Linked DNA regions of Pelodiscus sinensis. The protein of the gene in region 1 purifies or fractionates together with the protein of each later gene. This does not show direct contact. Links are inferred from orthologs where the notes say so. Each region holds a gene or a part of one and is shown in the gene's direction. Other genes may lie near its edges. The genes, in order: BAZ1B, MYO1C and SMARCA5.

Evidence for each region.
Region 2: the proteins of BAZ1B (region 1) and MYO1C purify together in Homo sapiens (affinity purification with western blotting; 3 studies listed by BioGRID, with this or other methods). This does not show direct contact. The link is inferred for Pelodiscus sinensis from reciprocal best matches to the Homo sapiens genes BAZ1B and MYO1C.
Region 3: the proteins of BAZ1B (region 1) and SMARCA5 purify together in Homo sapiens (affinity purification with western blotting; 11 studies listed by BioGRID and IntAct, with this or other methods). This does not show direct contact. The link is inferred for Pelodiscus sinensis from reciprocal best matches to the Homo sapiens genes BAZ1B and SMARCA5.

Annotation. Positions count from the first base shown.
Region 1 is NC_134731.1:16,474,932-16,485,387, forward strand, and holds the start of BAZ1B (tyrosine-protein kinase BAZ1B), read left to right. Parts: upstream 1-5,640; 5' UTR 5,641-6,241; coding exon 6,242-6,354; intron 6,355-10,456. UniProt on the Homo sapiens protein: Atypical tyrosine-protein kinase that plays a central role in chromatin remodeling and acts as a transcription regulator. Involved in DNA damage response by phosphorylating 'Tyr-142' of histone H2AX (H2AXY142ph).
Region 2 is NC_134731.1:1,247,219-1,258,254, forward strand, and holds the start of MYO1C (unconventional myosin-Ic), read left to right. Parts: upstream 1-6,726; 5' UTR 6,727-6,853; coding exon 6,854-6,928; intron 6,929-11,036.
Region 3 is NC_134715.1:41,840,702-41,850,737, reverse strand, and holds the start of SMARCA5 (SWI/SNF-related matrix-associated actin-dependent regulator of chromatin subfamily A member 5), read left to right. Parts: upstream 1-5,365; 5' UTR 5,366-5,635; coding exon 5,636-5,773; intron 5,774-6,184; exon of another isoform or gene 6,185-6,353; intron 6,354-10,036. UniProt on the Homo sapiens protein: ATPase that possesses intrinsic ATP-dependent nucleosome-remodeling activity.

The DNA of each region.
Region 1 (10,456 bases):
ATGCACCAAGTGTTTTTAAGTGGCATCTTAACATGCTGTTTAAATCTTCAACTACTTGGATGAGGAAGACTCACAAAGAGTCTGTCCATCAACCACACCACAGTGACAGTGATTTCACTGCTATGGTAACAGACCTGATCTCTCTGTAGGCTCTTGTGTAGCAGCAAGGAGCCTGTGGGGGTCTCTTGGTGGGAGAAGCCAGTGGTTCTTATGGACTTTTTGGTCCGTGGACCATTTGGCTAAGTGTAAACCTTTCCATGGACCACCAGTTGCTAATGGAGAACTCTATAATAATGGGAGATTTTAATTATCCCCATATTGACTGGATACATGTCACCTCCGGAAGAGAAGCAGAGATAAAATTTCTCAATGGCTTCAATGACTGCTTCTTGGAGCAGCTGGTACAGGAACCCACAAGGGAAGGGGCAATTCTTGATTTAGTCCTGAGTGGAGCACAGGATCAAGTCCAGGAGATAACCGTTACAGCATCGCTTGGGAACAGTGACCATAATATAACAACATTTAGCATTCCTGTGGTGGGAAGAACACCTCAGCAGTCCAGCACTCTGGCATTTAATTTCAAAAAGGGGAATTACACAAAAATGATGAGGTTAGTTAAACGGAAATTAAAAGGCACAGTGACTAGAGCCAGATCCCTGCAAGCTGCATGGAAACTTTTTAAAGACACCATAATAGAGGCCCAACTTAAGTGTATACCCCAAATTAAAAAACATAGCAAGAGACCTAAAAAAGAGTCACCATGGCTTAACCACCATGTAAAAGAACCAGTGAGGGACAAAAAGGCACCTTTTAAGAAGTGGAAGTCCAATCCTAGTGAGATAAATAGAAAGGAACATAAACACTGTCAAATCAAGTGTAAAAATGTAATAAGAAAAGCAAAAAAAGATTTTGAGGAACAGCTAGCCAAAAACTGAAAAAGAAATAACAAAATGTTTTTAAGTACATTAGAAGCAGGAAGCCTGCTAAAAAACCTGCGGGTCCCCATAAAGATCGAGATATAAAAGGAGCAATCAAGGACGATAAAGCCATTGCAGATAAACTAAATAATTTCTTTGCTTCAGTCTTCAGGGCTGAGGACATTAGGGAGATTCCCAAATCTGCACCGTCCTTTGTGGGTGATGAATCTGAGGAACTGACCTGGATTGAAGTGCCATTAGAGGAGGTTTTGGAACTAATAGGAAAACTTAATGTTAACAAATCTCCAGGACCGGATGGCATTCATCCAACGGTTCTAAAAGAACTCAAATTGGAAATTGCTGAACTATTATCTGTGGTTTGTCACCTATCCTTTAAATCGGCTTCCGTACCTAATGACTGGAAGGTAGACAATGTGACACTAATATTTAAAAAGGGCTCTAGAGGCGATCCTGGTAATTACAGACCGGTAAGTCTAACTTCAGTACCAGGCAAAGTAATCGAAACAATAATAAAGAATAAAATTGTGAGGCATGTAGAAGAACATAATTTGTTGGACAAAAGTTAACATGGTTTCTGTAAAGGGAAATCATGTCTTACTAATCTAGTAGAGTTTTGTGAAGGGGTTAACAAACATGCAGACAGGAGGGATCCAGTAGATATAGTATACTTAGATTTTCAGAAAGCCTTTGACAAGGTCCCTCACCAAAGGCTCTTGTGTAAATTACATGGCCATGGGATAAGAGGGAAGGTCCTTTCTTGGATTGAGAACTATGGTTAAAAGACAGGAAACAAAGGGTAGGACTAAATGGTAAATTTTCAGATTGGAGAGGGGTAACTAGTGGTGTACCCCAAGGGTCAGTCCTGGGACCAATCCTTTTCAACTTATTCATAAATGATCTGGAGAAAGGGGTAAGCAGTGAGGTGGTAAAGTTTGCAGATGATACCAAACTGTTTAGGATAGTCAAGACAGAAGCAGACTGTGAGGGACTCCAAAAAGATCTCACCAAACTGAGTGATTGGGCAACAAAATGGCAAATGAAATCTAATGTGGATAAGTGTAAAGTAATGCACATCGGGAAAAATAACCCCAACTATATGTACAGTATGATGGGGGCTAATTTGGCTATGACAGATCAGGAAAGAGATGTTGGAATTATCATGGATAGTTCTCTGAAAGCTTCTACACAGTGTGCAGCGGCGGTCAAAAAGGCAAATAGGATGCTAGGAATGATTAAGAAAGGGATAGAAAATAAGACCCAGAATATCTTACTGCCCCTGTATAAAACTATGGTACGCCCACATCTTGAATACTGTGTACAGATGTGGTCCCCTCACCTCAAAAAAGATATTTTGGCCTGGAAAGGGTTCAGAAAAGAGCAGCTAAAATGATTAGAGGTTTGGAATAGGTCCCATATGAGGAGAGGTGAAACCACTGGGACTTTTCAGTATAGAAAAGAGGAGACTGAGGGGGGATATGATAGAGGTCTATAAAATCATGAGTGGTGTGGAGAGGGCAGATAAAGAAAAGTTATTTATTAGTTCCCATAATAGAAGAATCGGAGCACACCAAATAAAATTAATGGGCAGCAGGTTTAAAACTAATAAAAGAAAGTTCTTCTTCACACAGCATGTAGTCAACCTGTGGAACTCCTAGCTGTGAAGGGTAGGACTATAACAGAGTTTAAAGAGACGCTAGATAATTTCATGGAGGTTAGGTCCATAAAAGGTTATTAGCCAGGGGATAGAAACGGTGTCCCTGGCCTAAGGATGGCAGGAGACAAACAGCTTGATCATTGTCTTCGGTCCACCTTCTCTGGGGCACCTGGTGCTGGCCACTGTCGGCAGACAGGATACTGGGCTAGATGGACCTTAGGTCTGACCCAGTACGGCCGTTCTTATGTTCTTATGGAATCTCACCGTTAATTACATAATTATGCCTGAGCCATTTTGCTAGTGTTGCCGCTAGGGAGAATGGTTTAATTTAAATGATTAAACAGATTAAGAGTTTTAACTTTCTCATATTAGTTTATCAGACTTCATTTTAAATAAAGTAAAATATTCATTTGTGTTCAACACAAAGGCTACGTCTACACTGGCCCCTCTTCCGGAAGGGGCATGTAAATTTCACTAGTCGTCGTAGGGAAATCCGCGGGGGATTTAAATATCCCCCGCGGCATTTAAATAAAAATGTCCGCCGCTTTTTTCCGGCTTTTAAAAAAGCCGGAAAAGAGCGTCTAGACTGGCCCCGATCCTCCGGAAAAAGTGCCCTTTTCCGGAGGCTCTTATTCTTACTTTGAAGTAAGAATAAGAGCCTCCGGAAAAGGGCACTTTTTCCGGAGGATCGGGGCCAGTCTAGACGCTCTTTTCCGGCTTTTTTAAAAGCCGGAAAAAAGCGGCGGACATTTTTATTTAAATGCCGCGGGGGATATTTAAATCCCCCGCGGATTTCCCTACGACGACTAGTGAAATTTACATGCCCCTTCCGGAAGAGGGGCCAGTGTAGACGTAGCCAAAAGGGTTTCAATGTTTTCTTTATTTATGGCAGGGCTGGGGAGACGTTTTTGGGCCGGGGACCACTGGCACAGAGAAAAATCAGTTAGTGACCACACAAGTGAGAAACAAAAAAATTCCTCCCCAAACCCCCAACCCTCACTGAGGTGGCTCCCAACTCAGACACCTCACTGCTCTGGCTCTCCATGGGGTGAGGGGAAGAGGCAGGGAGGACTGAGGTTTAGTGCTTCCTAACGGCCCCATTTGCTTTTTTGTTGAATTTTATGGACTCCCTTTAAGTTCTGAGGTGAGGACAAAAATGAGGGGTACAGTGTGTGGTACAAGGCTGCCAGTGAGTGGGATAGGAATGGGGTGCAGGATCTGGGAGCGAAGTGGAGCACAGAAGGGGAAAAGGTTGCAAGGTCTGGGTGGGAGGTAAGGTGCAGATGCAGGGTTGGAGTAGGGTGTCTGACCAGAAGGAGGGAGCAGTAGCAAGGGAGGGTGCAGTGTGTGGTCAGGAGGGAGGGTGCAGGAGCAAAGGTAGATGCAGGAGCAGGGTGATGATAGGTGTCTGGCCAAGGAGGGGGATGCAGGACTGGACAGGGGGCAGGGTGTCTGGCCATAAGCAAGGGTGCAGGAGTAGACTGGGGGGTAGGGATCGGATCTCCATGGTCCAGCACCTTTGGAACCTGACTGGTCCCAGAAGAGGGATTTTTCCGGACCAGGGCAGGTCATTTCAGGACCTCTGCTGCTGCTGCTCCCGCATTGAACTTCCTGGCACCACCTCCCCACAGCCCAGCTGAGCCCTGCATTGGTTCCCTGTACCCCCTCGCACAGCCGAGTTGAACCCCGCACCAGTTCCCTCTGCCCCACCCTGCAGCCCAGTTGAGTGCCTCCCCCCGTCCTCACAGCCTAGCTGAGCCCTGCACTGGTTCCCTGTGCCATCCTCTCACAGTGAAGCTGAGCTGCTCATCTGTTCCCTGCACCTTCCCACATCCCCTGCAGCCCAGCTGAGCCCCGTGCCTGGGTGCCTGACACCCTCCCCACTCCCACAGCCCAGCTGAGCCCTGCACCAGTTCCCAGCACCTCCCTTCACAGCCCAGCTGAGCCCCGCACCCGGGTTCCTGGTGCCTCTCTCCCCTGCAGCCCAGCTGAGCCCTTTGCTGCTTCCCTGCACCCTCCTTCCCACTGCAAATCACTTGCTTTCCCACACTCCCAGGCTGGGTCTACATTGGTGTGATCTTGTGCAAAAGCAGCTGCTTTTGCGCCAAAACTTGCTCCCTGACTACACTGACTGCGAGTTCTTGCGCAAGAACACTGACATTCTAATGTATGAAATCAGGGCTTCTTGCGCAAGAACTCTGACGCTCCCGCTCAGGAATAAGCCCTTTTGCACAACTGTTCTTGCGCAAGAGGCCAGTGTAGACAGGTAACATGAATTTCTTGCGCAAAAAAGCCCTATTGTTAAAATGGCCATCAGAGCTTTCTTGTGCAAGAGAGCGTCCACACTGGCACGGATGCTCTTGCGCAAAGGCACATGCCAGTGTAGACGCTCCCTTCTGGAAGAGTTTTTGCACAAGAACTTTTATGCAAAAGAGTTCTTGTGCACAGGGCTGGCCCGAACCCTTTTGGTGCCCTGGGCCCTGGTGTGCGGTGCCACCCCCGGGCGCAGGGTGCATGCGCAGGCCCGCCCATGGAAAAGCGTCCGTGCCAATCTAGACGCTCTTTTCCGCAAATGCTTTTAACGAAAAACTTTTCCGTTAAAAGTATTTGTGGAAAATCAAGCCAGTCTAGACGTAGACTCTGTTTCTGAGATAGGAGACAAGCATTAATCCAGTCATCATTTGAAACAACGGAATGGTTTATGTGCCTGTGCAAGTGGAGAAAACATTGTCCTTTGCCTTCCAAGTAAGGCTATGTACACAGTAATACTTTTGTTGGTCAGAAGTGTGAAAACCAGCCCCACGGTTCCATGAGTTTCAGACAAAAGCACTAGTGTGCGCACATCTGTCAGCCTACGATGGGTTTCCAGTCAGCAGAGCTCCCGTCGCTCGCTGGAGATGGTTCAATCCTGCGGACACGAGAACTCCCTCCCCTTGTCACTGTAGGTGTAGACGCAGCCTGAACCAGATCATGGCAGAGGCGCGAGCTGGAGGGGGCAGAAGCTCTCTGCAGCCCCCGGCGAGACACGAGTCTCCCGAATCCTCCGGCTGCTGCTTGGAAACCATGAGCCAGCGGGGCGCAGGGGACTGGCGAGGGACAGGCTGGCCCGGGTCCGAGGTGGGGCCCATTTCAGCCGCCAGGCCGGCGCTACCCTTTTAAGAGGGGGGGGAATGCGGGCATCATTCGAGGAGACAAAGCCGGGCGCGCGGCCTCTCCGTAATACCCGGATGATTTAGAGGGGGCGTGCTCCCATTGGCTAGTGCGAGAACAAGGCGGGGCAAATAACGGGGGCCACAAAATGGAGTCGCGCTCCCCTCCGCTTACATAAGGTGACCTTTCACCCTGCGCGCTCTGCAGCCTAACTTGTCCGTCAGGTGGGTGGAGCTAGATGACTAGACAGGCGTGCCATGTATCCACTAGGGTGCCCCGACTTAGACCGCGACCAATCCAACTATGCCGTAGGCGGGAAGGGCCGGCCTGGCGGTACTAACAGGTTAGGGTGCGCGCTCAGCGCTTCTGCCGGCCGCCCGCTCGGCAGAGGGGGAGGGGAATCTCCCGCCATTTTTCAATCCTCCCGCCCGGGTCCCACCGCCGCCGGGGCCGTTGTGGGGAGTTTCCAGGCCCGGCCGGGGCCGCTCCGCTCCCCGTCATGGCGCCGCTACTGGGCCGCAAGCCCTTCCCGCTGGCTAAGCCGCTGCCGCCTGGGGAGGCGGGCGAGAGGTTCATCGTTCCTCACACGCAGGAGGCCTTCCGCACCCGCGAGTATCCGCCGGCCCGCGGGCCCGAGGGGGTGTCGGCTGCCCCGAGTGCTAGCCGCGTCCGCGTGTCTCCGCGCCCCTGAGCTGCTGTAGCGCCCGCCCCTGCCCCTGGGCTCGCTGCGCCGGTGCAGCGGCTCCGAGACCCGGCGCTGGCCCTGTCCGTGGAGCCCGCGCGTTTGGCACATCGGGCGGCGAGAGCAGCGCTGGCTCGGGGCTCGGGAGGGGGGGCTCTGCCTCCGGAATTGATCGCATCGCAGGTTCATGCCGCCTGGCTGCGTCGCCCTTCGGTCCAGCCTCGCACCGACCCAATTTCTGTTTGTTCTAGTCCCGTTCAGGTTCCCGTGCTGCTTTCCAGGAGACGGCTACTCCCAACACGTGTGTGTGCGCGCTTTGTAATGTCACTTGCCATAGTCCATAGGCTGTGCAATGGTGTGTCAGGAAACAGGGCTTCAGGCTCCAAAAACTGATCAGATAACGGACTGTTTCAGGTTCTTACGGTTAGTCTGAAATGCAGAGGATTGAGAGAAGCTATTTGTGTCCCAGGATATTTTTGTAAAATTAGATATGTATTTTATGATTCTTAACTTTGTAAAATGAAAGGATGGGGGGGGAGGGGGGAGGAGAAAATCCCAGTGTAAGGGTTTATTTGACAAAGGATAAGATTTTAAAAAGAATATCTAGCATATATGCTTGCTGCATAAACATTTGAAATGGTTAAGAAGACTAGTCTTGCCCAAGCTTAGGCCCTAAGATGTTGCATGTTATGTTTGTGAATAGCTGTGTCAGTGATAACCTGCATTGTGGGAAATTGCAATTACAACTCTTCATGAGCACAGACAACCATTAGACTTAACCCATTTTAATCCTTGACTATTTGTTCTCCTTGCACATAAGGGGCGATCTACACTTAAAATGCTACATTGGTGCTTTAAATAAAAATGCTCCTAAACTGATGGGAGAGATTCTTCCATTAGCATAGTTAATCTGCCTCCATGAGCACCAGTAGCTATGTTGACAGGGGAAGCTCTTCCACTGACATAACATCTGCCCCAGGAGTTAGGTTGGTATAACTATGTTGCTTAGGTGGTGTGGATTTTTCACACCTTAAGCAAAGTTGTTGTATCCGTATAGGCCTGGCTGAAGTGTGGGATCAGAGCTAGAGTAGAAGGTTGGTCCCTGCTTGACATCTATATCCTAAGGTAAGACATGGCAAAATAGAGTATAGCAAGAGAATGGGGCAGACAATAAGAACACATAAGGCTGGGTCTGTATGCAGATATTAGGATTTGGGTGTCATAGTATAAGTATTAATGAGATTAAAAACAGAAGCCTCAACTGGCCCTATGTAATAGTTGTCAGTAGGCTTCATTTTACTCTAATAATTGGAGCAGAAATGGGTCTTGGGGAGGGACTTAAAGGACAGACTTAGTTAGAAAATGTGTTTCTTGCATAAGTGGTGTTGTGGAAAGTACAGCTGTTGTGGGAGAAATTGAGAAACATACAACATGTTGCTTGTCTGCAGTGGATTCTTTCTCTGTACAGTTTCAAGCCTTCTGGGATCCTTCTGTATAAAAAATAGGATACAAGTTCAAAGTGTAATAATCATTCTTCACCACTTCTTGGAGGGAGGAAGAGTGGGAAGTGAGTGGTAGGCACATGAAATCTCCATCATAGGAGATGAACCAGCAGCTCTGTGTGGAGGACTTGCATATCTATGTAGACAGGTGTATTTTTTATTTTTAAATAGGCTTTAACTATATACTACTGTCCCTGGAGACTGATCTTTCCTCTGTACAACAATGGGCTGGAAACTGCAAGGAGAACTTAAATTGTGGAGGAAATGTATAAAGATCTAGAGTGCACTTGAGAGATTTTTGGCAGCATGTGAGACAAAGGGGCTCTAGAACTTGCATTAGAAAGTTTCTATTACTTTGCTGTGAATTGCAGCCATGTTATACGGAGAGGAAGGATTCTGTAGTCTTTGAGAGGGAAGTATAAGTCTGAGATTGAGACAAGTATTACTAATACACTGAGTATAATGAAATGATGTTATAGAGTCTTACTTAACTCAAAGCATTAATTTAAAATAATTTAAAACTGACTAATCTACAGTTCATGTGGCTAATCTTAGATGTTCAGAAGCTGCAGGGGGTAGCTGAGTTAGTCTGTACAGGATAAACTTAAAAAACAACAAATGGTCTGGTAGCACTTTATAGACTAACAAAACATGTAGATGTTATGGTATATGACCTTGAAAGGAGCTCAAAAGCCATAAGAATAGAGCTTGGAGGCTTTAATGAAGATTACAATTTCAATATTGATTTTTATATCACTGATTTTAATAATTTTTTTAAATCAGCAAGTAGTAGACCTTGATTTAAACCACTACATTTTAATTGTTTTGCATTTGTACTTGTTTTCCTAAAGAAAAGTTGCTTTTAGTTGATTACTATGCAAACATTGATTTGCAATTAAATATGGTCTTTGCACTAAATTTCCTCCTTCCGTTTTGCGAGGAGGCTATACCAAATCTATACTAAATACACATTTATTTAAGCAGTTCTATAGCATAATGTGCATGTATTCAGATATTTGGCATTTTAAAAAAGTGTAAAAATAAAGTAACAAACATCAACAATATTTAAAACGTAAAGGCTTTTTACATTTAAAAAAATTACATTAAATATGTTGGATACATAGAAATTTTTCAACATGTTTTAAATTCAAAACTGATTTATTAAGCAAAGGAGATATTTGCAGTTAATAAACTAAACTTAGTTTCTTGTCAGCATGCCCTTCAGTTTTTAGAACTAGTAGATCTCACTCTTACACTTAGTTTTCATTCCTGTTTGGGAAGTGTGCTAATTCAGCTTCCTATTGATTTTTAATTTTTATTGAACTAATTGAATAAATTGCAGTGAAGAAAATATTCTCTGCACCTGCAGAACTAGCTCCTACTATCAAAAGCTGGCTTAGCACTTGGAAAAAACTCTGGTTCCGGGTGCTTAGCCAATGGCTTCCACCACTGATTTGACTTTAAGTTGTTGAAAGTAAATATTAGTATATGTGTATTTAATTTAAATTATTTTAGTGTTATATTTACACCTGTACATTGGTTGTCATAATTTCAGATCAGTCTAATTAAAAAAAAGCCTGTGGTAAATTTAAATACCAAAATGTCTGTTTTAAATACAATTTTTAATCGTATTTTTATCCACTTGGCTGATTAATTAGTGAGTAAGAGGATGTAAGGTGTATGCAAGTTTTTGAAAGGTAGAATTGCCAAGGAAAAAGAGAAATTGTTTAGTGTCAGTGTTATATGGCTTATTAATTGAATAACTCGGAGACTCTTGAGACAAAATACTTCATGTAATTTATTAATTTTAACCCTGCAATCTGCTGAATATATATATATCCTATTTTTGTGCATGTTTCATACTTGTATGTGAAGTTGGAAATATGAAGGGTGGCTCTTTTCATAATTCTAAATGTGTTAATGAAGGTCATTACTGATGCTCTGGAAACTTAATGTGTTGGGCTTTGTTTTCATGGTAAGTTCTTCCGGCAGAAAATATGCTAATGAGGGACTCATGCTCTTCTAAGCATAAGTCATGATCTCCTTAGCATATTTTCTGCTGTTTCTTTTTGCACAAGGAGTTTTTGCGCAAAAAGAAGCAGTGTGGATGGTGGGTTTTTTTTGTGTGCTCAAAACGGGGGTTTTCCGCAAAAAAAAAAAACCCCAACACGCTGCTTCTTTTTGTGCAAAAACTCCTTGTGCTAAAAGAAACAGCAGATAATATGCTAATAAGATTGTGACTTATGCTAATGAGTCCCTCATTAGCATATTTTCTGCTGGAAGAATTTGCAGTGAAGATGCAGCCTTGGTGATCAAGCAAATGACCTATGAATGTTTTGTTCTTTGTGAAAGTCCAAACTGTAGTTGGTGGTCTTTTACATCTGCACTTGAAAGGGAATCCTCTGAACTGTCATTCATGTTAAAATTCGACACTTGCCAACAAGGACTTAACAAGAATTTGAACTATCTCACCCATTACCAAGACAGTTTCCCCAATTATCACCTGTAATACCATTAACTCACAAACATC
Region 2 (11,036 bases), about 15 Mb from region 1:
GTACTTGTTTTGTCTCCTTGATGCCATGCTTTCTAGAGAAGGCAAAGCAACTTCAGCACCACACAAACTTGTGATAGGTAATTGAGGTTACTTATTTCTCAGTGTATTGTCAATAATGAAACTACAGGAAACACAAAATTCCAATCAGGAAAAGGAAATGTAGAAGCAAAAGACATCGGTGTGTATATTTGAAGAATGGGTGGAGGAAACAGGATGGATTCCTTCCTGCTCATAGTCTTGAAACATGTTTACACTACCACTTTTGTTGGTATAATTTATGTAAATGTATGTAAAACACACCTTAGTGACATAAATTACAGTAACAGAAGTGCTGGCGTGGACAGTGCTGTGCTGGTGGGAGAGCTTCTCCTGCTGAGATAGCTGGTGCTGTCATGGCGATGACTTTATTGTGTTAATGAGGGAACTCTCTCCCGTTGACATAGAGCAACTACATGAGTGACTTTACAGCAGCATAGATACACACATTGGTGCAACTGTGCCACTGTGAACTAGGCTGGGGTAGAAGATGTTCTGGGTTAAGAAGACCTTGGATTTAAGCTTTGGAAATAGCAGCAGGTAGAATGCTCTGGTTAACTTGTTAGAGCTTTGGACTAAAGAGCATCTTTGAGGTTTCTAGTTCCCATAGTGTCAGATTTACATTGTCAGGTATCTGAACTTAATGCTTTGGCACTGGGAACTGTTCAGTTGCCAACACAAATGTGGGGTCAGAAAATACTCTGAATCAGCACAAGAAGTAATACAGCTCTAAGTCTTGAAACATAATATTGTTAATAGTCTGAAATAACATGAGATTACATTGTATCCATTGTCATATTTGTACCATTGGTGTGTAAAATTTGCTTTACACTAAAAGAACTTTTGTAGTTTTCATTTTCAGTGGAAATGTAACAAATGCCCCTACTTCATCAAAAAACTTAACTAGTTTTTAAGCTCTTCTTTCTGAATTTGAAATTGCTTATATAAATCTGTTTTCAGCTTCCCATTAAGAGATTCATGGGGAAAATATAAAAGACTAGAAGACTCAGTTCTTCAAATTCTCGACCGCAGCTAGTGACTGTAGGGGACCAAAATCCAATTTCTGCTGAACAGGAGACACATTCTATTTGTGGGCATCTTTGCAAGTATTTCAGGAGCTGAACACTGAGCAGGGAAGTTTATATGGCTCCCCATATCCCTGCTCCTTAACATCACATGAGGACTACCCTTTGGTTAGTTATTGGAGTTGGAAGGTGCTCTTTATAAAATGGTTAGTGTCAGAGGACTCTAGAGTAAACAGTTAAAAGAATCAAATTACATTTTCAAAGTTCTTGGTTCAGGCTTGTAGTTACCAATCTGTCATAGCTCCTCAAGTCAGTCTGGTGATCAGTTAGATTGAACACGAGTGAAGAGCTGGGTTCTGTTGGTCATGATCCAAAGCTGAGGCAGGACTGAATCCAGTGTGCTATGGCAAAAGCACCCCAATTTTATACAGGTTGGACCTCCCTGGTCTGGCACACTTGGGACCTGCACAAGGGAGTTTGCCAGACCTGTGGAAGTCAGGGCTCTACTAGAAGGGCACCCGCCTCCGCAACCAGCTCCTCTCATAGCTGTTGGCTTTGGCTCTGCTGTGCTTCCAGGCCCTGGTGGCTGCCAGCGAGGCTCTACTTCCTGCCTTCAGGGCTACTGGCCTCGGATATTGCCGGACCAGAGATGTTCAACCTGTACTTGTAAGATCCCTTTGGAGTCTATGTGTTTTACACTGTCATGCTGCAGTCCTTGATGTGTGAATCTTGGGGTTTTCCTGCAGTTATAGTCGGGCTTCCCATTGCTATCTCTTAATTGTATTCTCACCTTTGGGAGTGTCTACCTGTCTTCAAGGCTTGTCTGTGCTGCTAATTTGTTCAGCCTTGGGCACAATGGATGTTCTGTGATCATCTCCAAGAGTCTCATGTCGCCTTGAGGATCTGCACATCCGTGATGGCTTTCACACATGTTCTTCACTCACACCAAACAATTTTACAGACAATTTCAGACAAAGGATTGCAACTTAGCTCCTTGCCCAAAGCGCTTTGCGATGGTTCCCTCTTACTTGTTAAACACTTGAAATGTTGACTCCAGCTATGTTGCTTGGCATGTTCTTTTTAAAAATGCTTAAGTCAGTTAGGTAGTTGAATTAATTTTAAAATAAATTTATTCTAATGTTAATTCAAGAAAACTGTTTAATTTTGTGATTTAAGACAATGGGCCTCAACCCAAGATAGAGGTCTTCCAGGGGATACATCAGTTCTTCTAGATACTTGCTCAGTTTACCACAGGCTACATAGAAAGCACTAGCAAAGTCAGTACCAACTAAGATGTCATACAATGATTTGTTTATACTGCTCTATATACTATACACTGAAGTGTAAGGAGAGTATTTATATTTTAATTGAGTTGTAATAATATGGTAGAAATGAGAAAGTAAGCAATTGGTCAATACCAATGTGCTGTGACACACTTTTTCTGTCTCATTTTGTAAGCAAGTAGCTTTTAAGTGAGGTGAAACGGGATGTGCAAGACAAATCAGACTCCTGAAAGGGGTCCAGTAGTCTGGAGAGGTTGATTTAAAAGGTAAGAATGTTTTGTCCTCTCCCTGCAAAGAAGCTGTTGCTTCTAGACGTATTTTAAACAAAATTTATGTATTGCATGTTAAAATGCAAATTGTCACTTACTACTTCTGTCTATAATGATGGCAACTCTTCATGGTTCAGCATTGTCAGAGTACTTTTTTTGTTTTCTATTAAACTAGGAAGGATGTTTGCCAAGGAACTTTAGGAAGCTTATCCTCATTTAGTATCCATGTAGGAAATTTCTAATTCTCAGCTGACAAAAGGATAAACAATGTATCTCTGGACATAGGTAGTACAGCTGCATGTAAACAGGAAATATTTCTGAGATGTATTGTGTGTTTTTATGCCCTAAAAATACACTCTGATAAGGACTATTGTGTGCAGCACCACTACTTCCTTCTCTGCTCATTCAGCATTGACACTCGGATGAACCTGTCCTTAACTCATATGCTGCAGTGGAAGGGCCAGTTCAAGAAAGCTTGAATTATGTTTTCCTTGAGTTAGAAATTAGCCTGTGGTGGTTTTGTGGTTTCTTTTTTGGTGGGGGACGGAGGGGGGGGGACAGAACTGCATGACTACCAGGAATATTTTAGTTCTACCCTGGTGATGGCAGATTTTCTACCTAAATGTGACTATAATGAGCCAATTGTTTTCAGAACAATGTATGTGAAGGTCACAGACAAACTCATCACTGAGCGATTACATTGTTTTTAGCGGGTTGTAGCTCATGCTCTGAGTGTGAACATAGAGTAAGTACTTCATGTTCTTTATTGTGATTCCTCAGTTTCTCATTCTCTCCAGATATCTGTCTTGGAGAAGAATGCTGTCTATTGTGTTCTGTGGACAGCAGGATTTAAAAGAAGTAGAGTCTAGTTATTTAGATACAGTTCATCTCTCTCCCTCCACATTCTTGGATCTTGCCATTTTAGGAAGAGGTCCAAACCATGGAAGATAGAATATAGTACAGAATACTGGAGAGTTGTCCCCACTCGTTCAGTGGCTGCTTTGGGCAACAGTGATTGGGCAAGAAAATGGCAAATGAAATTTCATGTGGCTAAGTGTAAAGTAATGCACATTGGGAAAAATAACCCCAACTATACGTACAGTATGATGCGGGCTAATTTGGCTACGACAAACCAGGAAAGAGATCTTGGAGTTATCGTGGACAGTTCTCTGAAAACTTCCACACAGTGTGCAGCGGCGGTCAAAAAGGCAAATAGGATGCTAGGAATTATTAGGAAAGGGATAGAAAAGAAGACCCAGAATATCTTACTGCCCCTGTATAAAACTATGGTACGCCCACATCTTGAATACTGTGTACAGATGTGGTCTCCTCACCTCAAAAAAGATATTTTGGCCTTGGAAAGGGTTCAGAAAAGGGCAACTAAAATGATTAGGGGTTTGAAACAGGTCCCATATGAGGAGAGGTTAAAGCGACTGGGACTTTTCAGTTTAGAAAAGAGGAGACTGAGGGGGATATGATAGAGGTCTATAAAATCATGAGTGGTGTGGAGAGGGCCGATAAAGAAAAGTTATTTATTAGTTCCCTAAATAGAAGAACTAGAGGACACCAAATGAAATTAATGGGGAGCAGGTTTAAAACTAATAAAAGAAAGTTCTTCTTCACACAGCGTGTAGTCAACCTGTGGAACTCCTTGCCAGAGGAGGCTGTGAAGGCTAGGACTGTAATAGAGTTTAAAGAGAAGCTAGATAATTTCATGGAGGTTAGGTCCATAAAAGGCTATTAGTCAGGGGATAAAATGGTGTCCTTGGCCTCTGTTTGTCAGAGGCTGGAGAGGGATGGCAGGAGACAAATCGCTTGATCATTGTCTTCGGTCCACCCTCTCTGGGGCACCTGGTGCTGGCCACTGTCGGCAGACAGGATACTGGGCTAGATGGACCTTTGGTCTGACCCAATACGGCCGTTCTTATGTTCTTATGCTTTGTCCAGCCAAAGGCTTAGGATATCAAACCTGTCAACACAGGTGTTGTTTAATGACAGTGGAAGCTACAGGTTGAACCCCTCTAGTCCAACACTCTGGTCCAGCACCATCCTTGGTCCGGCATGATTTCGTTTAGCCGGGTGGGTGTGGCCAAGTTTCCTGCGATCCCATAAAGTTTGTTTACGGCCACCAGTCCTGGCTTTCGGTGCTCTGTGCTGTTGTTTAGCTCAAATTCACCCCTAAATGTCTTCTCAGAGCTCAGTAAGCAGTGGGAGTGTTGTAATTCTGCTGGACAAAAGTGACTTCCCGTGGTCTGGCAAATTCACTGGTTTGGCACCGGTCAGGTCCCAATGGTGCTGGACTAGGGAGGTTTAACTATTAGTTTGACAGAGAAAACTCTACGTTTGTTTGCCCAGATGCTTCTGTTATAATGAATGTAAACGGAGGGTTTTTTTAAACAGAGTCCTGCCTTTTTTCCCATGCAAGGACTATTACAGCTCAATGCCAGGACAATATATATAGTGAAACCAGATGAAAAAGCAGGAAAATCTGGTTTAGGGAGACCTGGCTGCTCTCTCCTGCTTGTGTGCCACAGCAGGAAAACGTTGAAGTCAGAAAGGAAATCTCAGACATGGAAAGATAAACTGGGGAGAGAAGCAAAGGGGGAAGGAAACAGAGTGAGATGCCAGAAGAAGAAAAATAAGTCACAAGGAAATTTCAGGAAGAAAAAGACATCACAAGAATAAAAAAATAAGAAAATGTTATTTGTCAGCCCTTCCTCTGACCAGGAATTGACTGTATCTGGTTATTTTTGATTGATTACACTCTCTCTGTCTCTCTGCTCAGAAGCTTCTCTCTCACCAATGGAAGTTGGTCCAATGAAAGATCTTACCTCACCCACCTTGACTCTTTAATATCCTGGGACCTGCATGGCTACAACTGTGCATGCATCTGACTAGATCAATCACACACAAGTAGTGATGGAAATTTCAGTGTAGCAAACAGTTGTTTTTGGCTTCTTTAATTCATGGCCACCCCCTTCTCCTCTGCTTTGTCATTTTGCCTTTTTATGAGTCTCTCCTCTTTTCTTTTTGTATTTCCTTATTCTCTGTATTCTTCTAGCTTTTTCACTTTCTTTTCTATTTGTCCGTTTTTGTTTGCTACTGAGATCCAGAAGTTTTATGCATGTCATTGAAATTATTCCTCTGAAGATCTGAGAAACAAATGTTTCACATGCAAAGATATGAATTCTTAAGTACCAAAGATAGTAAGGATTGATTAGATACTGCTTTACAATTGTGGGAACAGGACAGTTCCTAGCTGGAGCAATAATGAAGCAATGATGTTTTATCCTAGGAAATAGCTCTGGAAAAGGAACCAATAATTTCTATCCTTTGAAACAACCTTGAAAGAATGAAAAATTTATGATCAGGGAAATGGCCCATTCACATGTTCTCAGTAGCAAGCCTCCTCATCTGGAGTTAGCTTCCATTGGAAACAAGTGTATGGGCTGAAATGTGGCTGCTGAGAGTGGATATATCTACCTATCAACAGCGGGTTTTGAAATATCTGGCATTTTGTCAATTGCTTGGTATTGTTTCTTAGGTCTGTCCAGGATATTAGTTTAGGAGTTTGAGGGTGGGGATCATTTGCAGTGTTTCTAAACATCTGCCAAATCCAGAGTAAAGTGCAGCTGTGTAGTAACTTTTCTTTATTGACTGTTGGCGTGTTTGATGTTTGTCAGAACTGGTTAACTAGGAAGAAAGTAATTACAATTTAGTTCTATAGTAATTTGAAGGTCTTGCTGGAATTTCACTGGAAAAAGTTGGTATTTTCTTTTGCACCATCTCTTTAAATCCAACATCTTGCAGCCTAACACAGTGAATTTTTCCAGCACAAAATCTCAGGGTAGACCTTTCGAAGACTACTGCATATTATTTTTGTGTCCAAAACTGTCAAATTCCAGCCATAGCAACCTGACATTACTTAAATCCTCTGGGTCTGAAATGGAACTTCTGGAGTTAACAGCAACAAGCGAGGACATAAATTAACGATTCCTGGAACTGTCTTGGCACATTGTAACAATACAGAGTTTAGTGGAAACTAGTGCTTGAACTTAATTGTAGTTTTAGCTCACACCTACATTTAGTGTAAATACAAGGATTCAGCTCTTCCGCTCACAGTAGGACTTCTGAACCAAAGAACCTACTCAGTCTGTGGTTTCAGGGACTACTGTTGCTGTCCTTGATGTCAGCACCTTCTCTAAAGGACAGAGAAATCAATTAGCTTAGTTCTGGAAAGATGGAACTGCAAATTGAGTACATTCCCACAGGAGAAATCATCCGTGTGGTCAGTCACAATGGAGCGTGCAAGACTGTAAGCCCGGTTTCTTATTGTTCTCTTTTCAGTTCTTGCTTTGAAGTTAGTTAATTTCAAATAGTTACCTTTGTTTAAGTTCAGGAGAAAATGTAATGTGAGAAGGCTAATGCAAACATGTCTTTTAAATAGAAATTTTTAAACTCAGCAGTAGTATACTTCACCTCAGGGAAAAGAAGAGTCAGTAACTGGGAATTAAGCAAATGGCAAAAGTGTTCAAAACAATTTGTGTGTACACACCACACTTGGCATGATTTGTAATTGGAATAGTGTTATAGCCCAGGAGCACTTGGTGCGTCAGAATCTGGGAGAGGACTTCTTGGGTAACTGAGGGGCGAAAAAACAGTTTTAAAACACTATCCAGCCTCTTAGATAACAATGATTACTCCGGTGGCACCTTAGAAACTGAGAAAAATATATATAGTAATATCATGAGCTTTCGTGGGCAAAACCCACTTCTTCAGAGGAGCTTGAGTGGAGGAAAAAAACCCTCTTAGATCTTCATTGCCCATCTTGCCAATGGGTTCATATTTCAGAAACTGAATGCAAAGCTTAATAAATATTAATAGTGGAAAATAAAAGCAGAGCAATGTATCAAGAAAAATAAGGTGAACTTTGTCAGCATCTTGGAGAGCTGGGTATCTGATCTCATTACTGTGAACTGTGTGTGTATATTCATGACTAATGGAGAGTCAGTGTTGGGTGGGTTTTTACTTATAGCTCATCACACAAGTATTGTTAAATGCTTCTGTGTGCACCACTGTGGATTTGTTTTTAAAAATCTAGAAAATATATCGTCTCTCTTTTTTTTAGGCTTCCACATGAACAGAACATTTGTGTTCTGTTTAGACTGTATTCAAAATATTCAGTTTTCCAATATCTGTGTAAATTTCATGGAAAGGACCTAAAATTAAAATGGGCAGCTCAGAAAGGTAAACTCTTCCAGCATATTTTTATCTGGGTTTTTGAAGGTCAAGTAACAAATCATTGTTTGTTTTTTTACTGTCAAAGTATGCCCTCAGTTAGGATGTTGCCGTTGTCAGGTTAGCTGGATTAAGAATATGGTGCGACTAGTTAGAGGGTCTTTCTTTTTAAGTGATAAACCTCACTTCTAAAAGAAATCGACTTTTCACTCCTTCAGATTTCTGGTTTTGTTTTTTTGTACATCCTAGAGCTACTCAGGACACGATCGTAAACTATTTGAATTCTTTCTAAAGTGATTTAAGCCAAATCATTCGTACCTAAATGTAGTTACGTACATATGCCCCTGTCTATTTAGGTGCTAATATAGCTCCCATTACCATAATCTAGGAGGCTTCTGGGAATAAATACATTAAAGAATTCAGCAGCCCTGTGAGGTAGGGAAATACTGTTCTCCCCACAAAACAGAAAAGGAATTGAAACACAAAAGAGGCTACATGACATGCCCAAGGTCACATATGAAGGTTTTGGTGGAGCAGAGAACTGAACTGATGTCTCCTATAATCCCAGGCTAATGCCCCAACAACTGACTGGATCATCCTTTTAGTCTTCATGCTGGTCTGTATATAGTAATATGCAAAAATAACTTTCCGTTTCTCTACATGTATTAGTCAAATCTTACTCTATCCAACCCTGGATTCCATCTATAATTTTTCTGCTGGTGTTGCATTTATTAAATATCTGTGCAATACTGATTGCAGAAGTGCTTTGTGCTAAGCAATGGCATGCTGAAGCAAGCATAATCTGTTACTCCAATTGCCTTTCACTACCATTTTACTAAGCAATTTAAAATTTCCATATGAAACCTGGAGAGCTTAACTGCATTACAAGTTGCACAAACGTTCATTAAGTAAAACTTCCTTGCCCCTATAATAAATTCTCAGTTGCCAAATGATCGTCTTTCCCATCCTCCTTTTAACTGGCCTGGAAATTGCATTACCACCAATGTGGCAGCACAGGTCATTGGTTGGACCCAAACGATCTCTCCCAAAGGAGCTGTTGACTCAAACCTTGAATGATGGGTACCTGCATCTTGGGAGAGGGTAAAAAGAAAAGCTGTTCAGCTATTTTTTAAAAGTTTAAAATATTCATTAAAATGGCATAAAACAATAATTTGCTAACTTGAGAACAGCTCCTGTTATGGGGCAACATTTGTGGCAACTGTAAAACGACAAGTGTGTAAAGGGGATGCTGTGAGCGGATACGCTATTTTCTACAAAACCAAGACTTGTTAATGTGACTGCTCAACTGTAGCAGCAATAAAATGGTTTTCTCAATGTTTAGCTACGCTATTGCACCATGAAATCATAGGACTGGAAGAGACCTCAAGAGGTCATCTAGTTCAGGCCCCTGCACTCATGGCAAGACCAAGTATTTAGCAAATGATGCCAGCTGCCAGAGGTGACAGGGCTACAGTTTCTTATAGCCTTTTCATAGGCCTGCAGTCAGTTCTGCCTCCTTGCCTTTCCTCTGCTACTTTTACATGGAGAAAGTGAAGCTGAACTAGAGTTAACTCATTCTTGCTAGTGACCAGGTTGGGCCTTTACACCTTGTCTCATAATCCGATGTCTGATTGGTTGATGTAAAATTGATTCGTCAATGTCATTCTTGCTGACAATTGCAGTAGTGAGGCGAAAGAGTCAGTGGTTATGGTGACTGAACTTGCTTCTCAGAAAGAGGTGGTGGTCCTTCCATAATGAGGATGAGGCCTGTTGGCAGAAGTATGGCTCAACTTGGACCAGCACTGTACTGGTTCTGTGCTTAGTGTCTACATTTGTCTAACACTTTCACCATAACAAAATATACATAAGCATTTAAAGTAAAAAGACTTGCAAAAGAAAACACCAATATGGTAGAAGTGGGGTAGGTCTGACGTGTAAACAAAGCAGATAATTTAAATACCTAGTTTTGTTGTCATGGTTTTTTAATCTACGTTATTTTGTTTGCCTTAAATTCTTTTAATTGGAGATGATCTGAAGGCTGGCGAAGGAAGACATGATTTCTGTTTTATGGAGAACACACTTCGAGGGTATTCAGCATTTGACAGCATCCTGGAAAATCTGGTCGTCTTCTAAAAAACAGGAATTGAGAGAATCATGAAGACTTTGTTGTTTGGGGTGTCAGTCTGCCTTCATTAAGGACTCTTATTGTTATCTGTTCTTCTTATTTGGGAATACAGAGTTAGATGTTATGGGCAACGTTCTGATTCTGTGGAAAGATAAGAGGGATTTAGTGTGCAAGGAGGAATATGTCCTTAGTCATTAAGTAATAGAAAGGTATCCAGGGTGTCCCTGCTATAAGTTGTCTTGGTATATATCTGTTCTGCACTGAAGTTGTTGGCACTTGTAGGAACCGATATATTATAAGTCCTCCCATTCCCCACTTTTAAGTTGTGCAAAAAAAACCCAGTTTGCACAAATGGAAGTCAACCGTGGGAAAAAAATTCCCCCCTTTAAGTTGTTTCCCTATAAGTCCAAATTTTTTTGAATGTATCCTGGATTTACAGTGAGGACGGCCTGTTTACTAATCCATTTATTTGTCATTGTTCTTTCTCTTCATCTTATAAAACAAGATTTGCGACAACACATTTATAGCCCCATCTACCACGAAACAAAAGCAAAAAAGATTCCCACTCACAAGCTGTCTTTCCCTTTGGCCATTCAGAAAGCAAACTGAAATCACAAGAATTAGATTTATGTGTAGAACATAGGGTCCTGTCCCAGGAGTAGGGATCCTAGATGCTAGGATAATATAAATATAAATAATGTATTAGGGAGTGGGAGTAGAATGAATACAACAAATACAATTATTAGCATGTTATTTCTTGCTTCTTGTCTTATATCCCTTCATTCCCCATCCCTCCATAGAAGGGGAAATGGCAAGTAAAGTGGACTGTCCTTGAATGGTAGCCTCAAGATATGCAATTAAAATCAACCGGGAGGAGAATCTCATAGGACAAATCTGAAATGAACAAAAAGGGATGAGATGAAAACTGGGGAGTCAAACACAGAAATTGTCATTATTTGACCCTACAGCATGGCAATTTTGTGTGTCAAATACTGAGAGAGACTCGTTTTTAAAAACACATGGAATTCTAGTTTAAGACTTGTCTTTCAGGGGTGGAACC
Region 3 (10,036 bases), on another chromosome or scaffold:
TGAGGTGTGGAAGAATAAAACTGAGCTCTGGAGAAATGTTTGGCTAGAGTTTCCCCTACAATATGTACCAGTTCTGACTTACATACAAATTTAACTTAAGAACAAACCTACAGTCCCTATCTTGTACGTAACCCGGGGACTGCCTGTATAGTCTAAGTAGGGCTAGAGACTTTGCTGGCTATACTGCCTCTGATCATGTGTAACACTCTTATGCATTAATTCCTCTCTTTTTTTTTTCCTGTTGTTTCATGAATGAACTATATACTGTATATAATTTAAAGTAGCTCTGAATTTTATTTATGAGGAGGAGGGATTTTTTCCGTGGAAAAATCCATTGGCCTGAAATTCAGGAAACCTGGCATCCAACTTACTCAAGCATGTTTTCTTTACTTGAATGGGGAAATTATTTGTAATATTTTCAATTGATGATCGGGTTCTGATTTCTACTATATTGACTGGGGGAAAACATTGAAAGACTTCTATGCACACATTTCAGCTAAGGATTGGTAAACTCAATTCAATTTTCTATGTTGTGCCAGTGGTTGCTCAAAATGGGAATTATCTGTGCTATATTTACACTTGAGAGTGTCTTGTAGAACTATATTCCTGGTCTATATCTCCAGGAATCTTTCCTGGCTTCTCCAAGTAGGCAATAGTTAAAGACTTGGTAAACTTCAGAAAGAGTGCTGTTCATTATGTAGAGCAAAATTTGCCCTGTGTGGAGAGGGCCTACACAAGCTCTATACCCCGTTTTTAAGTCTTCTAGCTAGAATTTCACTTATACTGCATATCCTCAGTAGCATCTTCACTTCTCACACTTGTGATTAATATTCCGCATGTAATGAAATGGGAACAAAAGTGGTGCCTTTTTAAAAATATCTTTCAGAACCCTTAGCTGACTACCATTTATTCTTCTGACAATGCAGTCTCTTCATTACAGATGCCTTCTTATTTTTTGTGTCAGATTGTGATCTTTCTCTGAAACTGTGTATGAGCACTGTCACACCTTCACCTGTCAGCTTTGGCTACACATTTTCAAGTCCCCTGCTTTCACATTCTAATGAACTTAGTACATTATGTTGCTTGTGAAATATTTTCCTGTAGACATAGCACATCTGTCGAGGTCACACTGATTTCCTGAGTCTTTGGACATCATTAAAAATTATTATTAATTGTATTTGAAAATTAAAATCTGTCATATTTGAAAAGCAATGACTTTGAAAATAGGTACTTTTTTACTTCATTTTCCTTCAGAGAGAGCAGAACTCTCATGAACATGTTAAAGAATCACCAAAGCTCTATCACATTATTATTTAAAACAATTGTTAATGTAAAAAGGAGTTAGAACATGTACATGAACCAATAATTTGCATTTTTACAGAAACAAAGGAATTACTGTATTGTGGATAAATATAAAGCTCATATGAAAAATTCAGGTATGTAACCCAAACATAACCTACATATAACTAGGTAATCTTGGAGTCAGTGGAATTAGGTGCCTAGGCAATTTGGAAATCCTACTTGGCATCCATCTAAACCTTTTGGGACATAAATACTTTTTAAAAATCTAGCCCCAGGTTATGATTCAGAAGGAAACTGTTTTGCTTGGTGAAGGTATGAAAACCGAGGAAACTAGATTAAAATGCTATGATGTAGGCCTCAATCCTACAAGTTTATAGGCACAGGCAGATCTGGAGTTCCCCTGAAGTCATTGGTGCTCTGTGTGGATGCAGCAGTCCACCTGCATATATATGAGTGCTCAGAAGCAGGGTACTAGAAGCTTTTTTTCATATGCAACACCTGCTTTTAGTAAAGTCCAATTTAATACCAATTTTATACCCTATTTTCAACCCATAATTGACTTTCACACGGAGGTCAAGTGACTTGCCCAATGTCACACAGTTAAATGATTTTTTTTTTTAGGTGAACCTGATGGCTTCTAGTCTTAGCCAGGAAACAATGTCACTCAAGAACTGATCAGAGAGAAATCAGGCTTCATTCTACAACTAGGATTTTGAGGATAAGATATGTGTTTGCATTGAACCCATATAAATATGCATGGTATATGAGGCTTTTCAGTCACAGAAGTGTGGTAAATAAAAACAAAAAGAAGCATCTTTTTCATTTTGATTTTTGTTCAGCAAGAGACAGCATCAGTTACAGAAACTCATTCTCCAAGGAACTCTAAAAAAAAATAAACTGATGTCCAGATTCTGATACTACATAGGTATATGTTGTTCTTTTACTTCACTTGAAGTTGCATTGAAGTGAAGTTTGACACAGATATGTTGTCAGGTATTATATGGGGTTTTTTTAGGGTCAAGTTTACTAAAGCTGGAATTATCCTACATGTGGTATTTTTTTTAGAGTCTGTATTGCGCAAACAGCCCTACATATGGTCAACTTACAGTTCATTACATTTAGGGTGTGCACTAAAAACATACTTAATGCTATTCATTTTGTATGAAACATTTTGCAAGCACCATTATGCTATAACTTGAATAAATCCAGTATAGTGCTTACTGTACTTAAATTTAGTAGCACATATGAACAATTAAGTATGTATAGTCAATTATGTTTTAACATAGTTCCACTGAATTGTTGAAATGGACATACGATAAGCAGATTTTGTTTTGGTTTTGGGTGAGAGAGAGATGGCGTCACAATTTGGGTTTCAAGCAGTGTTGATATTGTGAAACAGTATCTCAGCTGGCTGGGTGTAACTGAGACACAGTAATACCAATAAATACATGTGCCTTTTCAGCACTGTGATCTGTAGAAATCCTGATCTCCTGAGGATGGAATAAGTATTGTTGGATCATGGAGATAGTGATTTGCATAGTATTAAAACAGGCCCAATCATGTTTGCTCAAGTGTCTTGCTGGGACCAGTGTGCTTGTTTGCTCAAGTGTCTTGCTGGGACCAGTGCTTACTTCAGTGGGGCCAGGATTTATCTAAAAACTTAAAAGAAGGGGTCCTTCCTTTCAAACTTATGAAGGAAGCAGGGACAATGTGTCGGCTCTCCACTAAAGCATGCTAAAGTAAAACTAAGAAAGGGACTTGCTAAGGGAATTTAAATATCGTGAGGAGGGGAGGCTGATATTGACACATAAAGACTATCCCCCTTTTACAGAGTACAGCATTTCTCCCCAGTTATAGACAATCATACCATTTCCATTTTTTTCTCCAAGAACTGGATTTTAAAAGCTGTTAAAAAAACTGGAACACTTTGTAGACCAACTTTAGGGAAAAAAAACAATATTAGAAGATTTGTGATTTATATTATCTGGAAAGAAGGGAAAAACAAAGTATTAAGACAGTAACTGTGATTCCTTTTTATAAAATGGGAGGTCTTATAAACATCCATTGCTATCTTTTTCTACGTTCTTTCTGCCTCACCTTTTACTTGGAGGAGGAGAATAGAAAATATTCTTTGAGATGACTACCATATTCTGTGAAAGTAAACCTACACAAGTTTACTTGACCCAAATATCCACCAGGTTTACCAGTGCTCAGTTTCTTCAAATCAGATAAGATCAGGTGTGTTCAGAGTGATATGGCCATCAAGTTATGCTTTCACTTTTGATCTTTTTTTTTTTATAGCTTATAAACAGTTTTACAGACACTGAACATTAATAATGTTCTTATTCACCTAATAGGATCTTTTAAAGCAGCATATACCGTATGTGTTTTCCTTATTTAAAAAAAAAAATAAAAACAAGTGTTCAATGAAACAGGAAGCATCGCCTGGGAATTTTCACACAAAGAAAAGCTAATTGAACTACTCTTTCCATTCTGCATATTTACAAATGCTGTGTTATTGCTCAGTTCTCTCTGGAAAAATAAATATCTTAATAAATAGAGGCCTGCAAATCTGTGGATATCTGCTTGATATCCACAGGTGTAGCCGCAGCTTGTTTTTGCAGATATGGATGAAAATAAAAATTTAGTTTTCTAGAACCCTGCAAATTTGTGAATATCCACTTTATATCTGTGTCTATCCATCCTCCGCTCATTTTTGCGGATACAGATGTAGATACAAATTTTGTTTCTGCATAGGGCTTTATTGATAAGGTAGGGGTTTTTTTCAATTATTTTGTGCAGGTTTATGTGTTGTCCTATTTTTTTTTGTGTCTGGCTTGTTTCCTGACTTGTGACAACAGTCTCTTAATGCCTCTTCTGCTCTCAATATGAGTTTTCTTTTGGTATTGACATTGCTACTTTGAACTGAATTTTAATTCTCTCATGCATTTCTTTGTTATGGAGATCTTTTCCAGTTTGTTAATCTCTTCCCTTTCCACTTCTTTGCTTGCTTCATTTTTTCATCTTTTACTTTTACTTTTAAAAACCTTATCGGTGTGGTATGTGGCTCCTGGATCCAATGGCTCTTCATTTTCTCCTGTAATTGAAATTCTCTTTCCCTTTCCAACTGTGTTCCTAATATATCTATTTCTAGTGTTAGCATCTCCCTATTCACCTGGCTACATAGGTACCTATGAAAGAAAACAATAGAGTCCATTCCAAGGGCCTGATCGAGCATGGCCTGGGGTCAACAGAGGACTCCCCAGCTGGCCTTGGCTCTGTGCAGTACTTCCCTGGAACCTGCTCGGGGTGTTGGGGCAGTGTCTGGGTGAGCCTGGATTTAGTTGGGTAGTCCCTAGCTGAGCCTGGGCTCCCCTGCCCCTTTGAAAGGCACAGAGGCATTTCAAAGGGGGTAGCTGCTGCACAGCTGATCTGCAGACCAGCGGTGTAGTGGCACCATTGCACAGCTGGGCAGTGCTGTCACTTTGACGTACCCCTTCCTTTCCCCCTTCCCCCTTCGCTACCGCTCCGTTTGCTACCGCTAGCTGACTACTAGGCAAAAGGCTGTCCAATAAATTCTTATGGGGTAGTGGACTAGTCTTTAGCAGCCCGGGCTTGCTCTAGGTAAGGTCGCTAACCACGTGCCTGGCAGCAAAACCGCCCTCAGACCATCAACCACCCGAAGCAAGCGGGAGTGTAAAATTAAATATGTAAAAATCAACGTGTCCCCTGAAGGAGGCGCGCCCGGCACACGGGCCGGGCGGCTGCAGCCTGCTGCTCGCAAGGCCTGGCTGGCGGCACGCGGGCAAGCGAGTGTCCCAAACTGAACCTTCCCAGGTGTGACGCTCGCTTAGGGGCGGGGTTTCCAGTTAGGCTCCGCCTCGCCGTTCCTTGTACCCAGCGCGGGGAAGCGGCGAGAGAATGGGAAGGTAGTGACGCAATAAGTCTGCGGTTATCCCGGCTCAACTCCTCGCGCGAGCGCGGCCCCGCCTCCCTCTGTCGTAGCCGGCTCGCCGCACCTCGTGGGAGCCCAACCAGAGACGTGTTCGTTGCGCAGGCGCATTGGCTCCCTGCTGGAGTTCTTGCGAGAGTTGGAAGCCGGCTCGGTTGGTTCCTGGTTGGTGGGGAGCGCGCTGCGAAAGCCGGGGCGGCAGCAGTGACAGGGAGGGGGGAATCCCCTCGGCGCGGAGTCTGCGAGCGGCGCCCCCCCCCCCTTCTCTAGCCCGTCCCGCCCGCCGCTGCGTGCAGGGGTCGCTTCTTCTCCCCGCCCAACGGGCGCGGCGGGAGCGGGCTCCCGGCCCGGCATTGTCTGCGGGGCGCGCGCGCCGGGATCATGTCCGCCGGGCAGCAGGAGCCGCCGCCGGATGAGACCCTGTCCCCCGCCGGCACCGCCCCCTCCTCCGCAACCACCAGCAACGGCGGCGAGCTCGCGGGGGCGCCGCCTGTCGGCGCGAGTGACGCTGACATGGAGGTGAGGAGACCCCCCCCCCCCCAAACCCCGGGACCGGGCGTGAGCCGGGGGGGCGGGGGACGCTCTGGAGCTGGTGACGATGCTCCGGCCCCTCGCTCTCCGAGGCCCGCTCCGGGTTTTCCTGTCCCGCCCCGAGCGGCTCCCTCGGCACACGTGGGGTTCCTCTGTCCGACTCCCCCCGTTAGGGCCCGGGGTGGGGGGTGAGTTGAGTCTCCCCCCCCCCCCCCCGTCTGTCCGCAGAGCCGCGCAGTAACCGGTGGCCGAGCCCGCCACCACCCGTCGTGCTGTGCCACGAGGGCTGGGGCCGGCAGGCTGCGTGAGCCGCGTGGGGCAGAGACAATAGAGCGGGCGGGCGGATGAGGAGCCTTCAGCGGCGCGTGTGAATGGAGCGGAGCCGAGCTGAGCCGCCTCCCCTGTACAGCGTGTGCGCCTCGTCTCTCTCTCTTTGGTTCATGAATGAATTGGGGGCGGTCAGGAAACGGGAGTCGCGTCTCGTTGTGTCTAGGGGCTGTGGGAGTCTCCGCGATGCTGGGAAGCGGGTAGCAGCTGTTACGTCGGCTTCCCACCCCTTCAGCAGAAAGTAGGTTCTTCTCTCTTTGTCACATACGCACCCTCTTCCCGTTGTTTGTTTTCTGTTCACGGCTCTGCCTGTCACTTCGGTGGGCGCTGTGTACCTCAATATATGCAAACAAGAGGTTCCTTCCCCTTTATGAACGATGTACCACAGACTGCTACGAGAAAAAGAACACAAAGAAACATTGACGGCTGCTCTCTGACTGATAGACAATGAAAACAATCTGAAATTGGATTTTTGAAGGCAAGCTGGAATAGTCACAGGTTTCCCAAATGTGGCCAACTCTCCTTTCTGTGTTCTGTTTTATTCCAGGAGTATCTAGCTAGAAATTTATTTTTCCTTTTTTCCCCCAGGAAGTTCTTTTTGTAGTGCAGCTGTAACTGTTGAATTAATTCTTCTATTCTTTCTAAGTGAGCTTCCCAGCAAAGATTTATGTTTAGCTGTGCTTTCTCTTTAAGTTATGAAAAAAACAGAGTACATCTGGCAACATTTTATAAAGCAGTGGTATCATCTGTTGTTTGAAATGTCTTATTTTGGCAACAGGTGCCTAATTCAGAAATGTCAGGGGGTTAGGAGAACCTGGGATTTGAACTAATGCCTAGAGATGATTGTTTTGTAACAGCATTTGTTTCTTTAGCCATACATGGAAACTAGTTTGTCTGCTTTTTATTGATGAATATTTCATGTTCTGAATCATTCTTTACAACCAACCTACTTAATCTGACTAGTTTGCAAATTCCATTTTCTTAGAGTAGCTCCTTCAGATGAACAAATAACTAAAACATTGTGGGTAATAAATCCTATTTAAAAACATAAAAGCTAAGCTGGAAGCTATTAAACAAGGATTTTTATATGTTTTTTGTCTCTTGTAAAGTTATAGTTCTCAAGAAGAAACCAAACCACTTTCAATGTTTATTTAAAATATTTCTTCATGTAGTTGTATCTCTTTTAAACTGGATTGGAAAGTTTCCTTATGAAGATTTATAAGTGCTTTGCCTCCTTCCTCTGGAATATTGCTTTACATTGATTCAGAAGGAAAGATTGTTAGCTATTGTTACCAGATTTGGTCCTTTCCTTCCTCCCTCCTCTCCCCCCCCCCCCCCTCCCGAGATGGCTTACTTAACTAGCCAAGACCCAGCCATAACCCAACCCCCCTTCCTCCTTTCTGTATGAAGAGCTATTAGGATCTTGTCTGCACTGGCTTTTTTTAAAATCTCCTACTATTAAACTACTATTGCTACGTCTCAGAGGGATAGCCATCATAAAGTTAGGAATAAAGACACTACCTGGCTAGCATACTACCTTCCATGTTCTAATGACTTAAAAAAACCAAACAATGGGTACTTAAGATCAATTTCCTCCTTCCCTATCAGCTTCATGTAATGTGTACACTCTAATACTACTTTCCCTCTTTTTCACTTCCTTCTCTGCCCCTCCCCCCATTTATTTTGGAACTGGACCTTTAATAACTATTCATCTGAAGAAGTGGCTTGTGCACATGACAGCTCATGATGCCATCTACATGTTTTGTTGGTCTTTAAGGTGCTTCTAGACTATTTGTTGTTTTTTAAGTTTTTCCAGAGATAGTCGTTAGTCTGTATCTGCCAAAATAGTGAGGAGTCCTGTTGCACCTTTACTTGCATTTGATTAAATGGATTTTTGCCCACAAAGACTTATGCCCAAACAAATTCTTTATGGTGCCACATGATTTCTCATTGTTTTTACTACTATAGATTTAACTCTTCTGTTAGTAATAATGGTGAGAAAGCTAATGTAGGTTAGCTGTTGGTGTTCTTAAGATTAGTGGATATATGGTGATAAAAATTTTGGTGGACAGGCAATGTTGCTGACCAGTAGTAGGAAACCTAGTTTAAGGGAAAATGCTAATATAGATACATCTTATGAAGGTATGAAGAGCAATGACACTTTGTTCTTTGGATAGAAACTATAGCTTCCATATTGAGAGAGACATACCATAATTAGGTATTGAAATTAGGAAATCTTCATTTGAGAATTTTTGTTCATACAGTTCCTTCTTCTATAAATGAGGCTCAACATCATAGAGTGAAACAAATGTTACACTTTTCAAAAGAGGAAGAAAGAACAGCTGATGAGTTTACAAAGAAGATCAAGAATGATTTGAGTTCATATTTAGTTGAAGTGTTCAATGGTGTCTTGACTATTTTATGTATGCCTAGTTTCAAAATCTTACCGAAATGTTAAAGTGGAAAATGCTTGTGTTAAATTCAGTCTACAGTTGTTGCCCATTGTCTTTTGAAGTTGTACAACTTAGGGATATTAAAGACTAATTGATCTCCCTCCTGTCCCCCCTGCTGCCTCTGTTAAATAGAGGCAGCAAAGGGAGGTGGGGGGTGGAAAGCGGCACTTGAAAGCGGCAGCACCGCACAGCTGAGCCCAAGATCAGCTGTGTGGCGCTGCTGTTTTGAAATGCCAAGGCTCCTCAGCTGACCGCAGGTTCCTTGGAAATGCTGCACTGGAGCACAGGATCAGCTGGGGAGTCCCCAGATGACACCAGGCTCCATGTGCGCAGCGGCTGCACAGCTGATCCCTGGCTCAGCTGTGTGGCACTGCACATGGAGCCCGGGGTCAGCTGGGGACTCCCCAGTTGATCCTGTGCTCCAGTGCAGCATTTCCGTAGAACCTGGAATCAGCTGGGGACTCCCTAGCTGACTCTGGCTCCATGTTGTGCTGCCTCTGTGAAATGCACAAGAGCCCCCGCTAGGTACTCTTGTACATTTCAAAGCTGACACCTTGTGCAGCCCGGAGTCTGCAGGACTTCTTGCTGGCCCCGGGCTGCATGCGGAAGTGCCTATTGAGTAGTTGATGGAAATTCTTAATCTGACTAGTCTGAAATTCCATCAACTACTCAATTAGTCAGTGAACTGCTAGTTAACACCCTTAGTGTAACTATCACTTTAGGGTGTATCGATTCATGTGTGTAACTTGTCAGCAGTGTATGTCTCTTATTCAGGGGTCACAGCCGTTCTGCTTGTCTCTAAGCATGAAGCAGGAGAGGGTTTCCAGTTAGATCCTGGCTAGAAGAGTAGGACGGTCTGTTGTTGAGCTGATACCTGAGTGCAATGATTTTTCCAGTTCTTTTCTTTTGGATCTTTTCTTTTTTGACTGACAAACTAAAATTCTGTTTTTACTTACTCATATCTCTTTTTGATGGGCCTTAGCTTGGCATAGTATTTATTATGTCTCCTTTTATGTCTATGTTCTTTATTTCCCTTCATTTGCTTTGTGTGGGTTCCAGCCTGATTTGTTTTAATATCACTTGTCCATTCCCCACTGCACACTAGGGACTGAGGTGAGATAAATAACTTCCAGTGTAGGCCATCTATTCTTAACAGATGGTGAAGGGTAATTTCTCCAGATAGCTCATTCTCTTCCCTAAACTCCTGAAGAACCTATGTAAAATACTCCTTCAGAACAATTGTATAAGGGTTGATCATACCAGTAGTATTTCTGCTTCCAGTAGAGATGACAGTTGTTCCTAGTACCTGAAGCACAGTGAAACTTGTAAATTGTTAATAAAGATGCACTCTTCTGGTGTCATGTCATATGTCACGATTTTGAAGCAGAATACTTTTTTGGAAGAAGGGAGAAGAGAGTTTTATTATTTCCCTATCTGAAAAGATAGTCAAAGAAAATACCTCTGCTCCTCC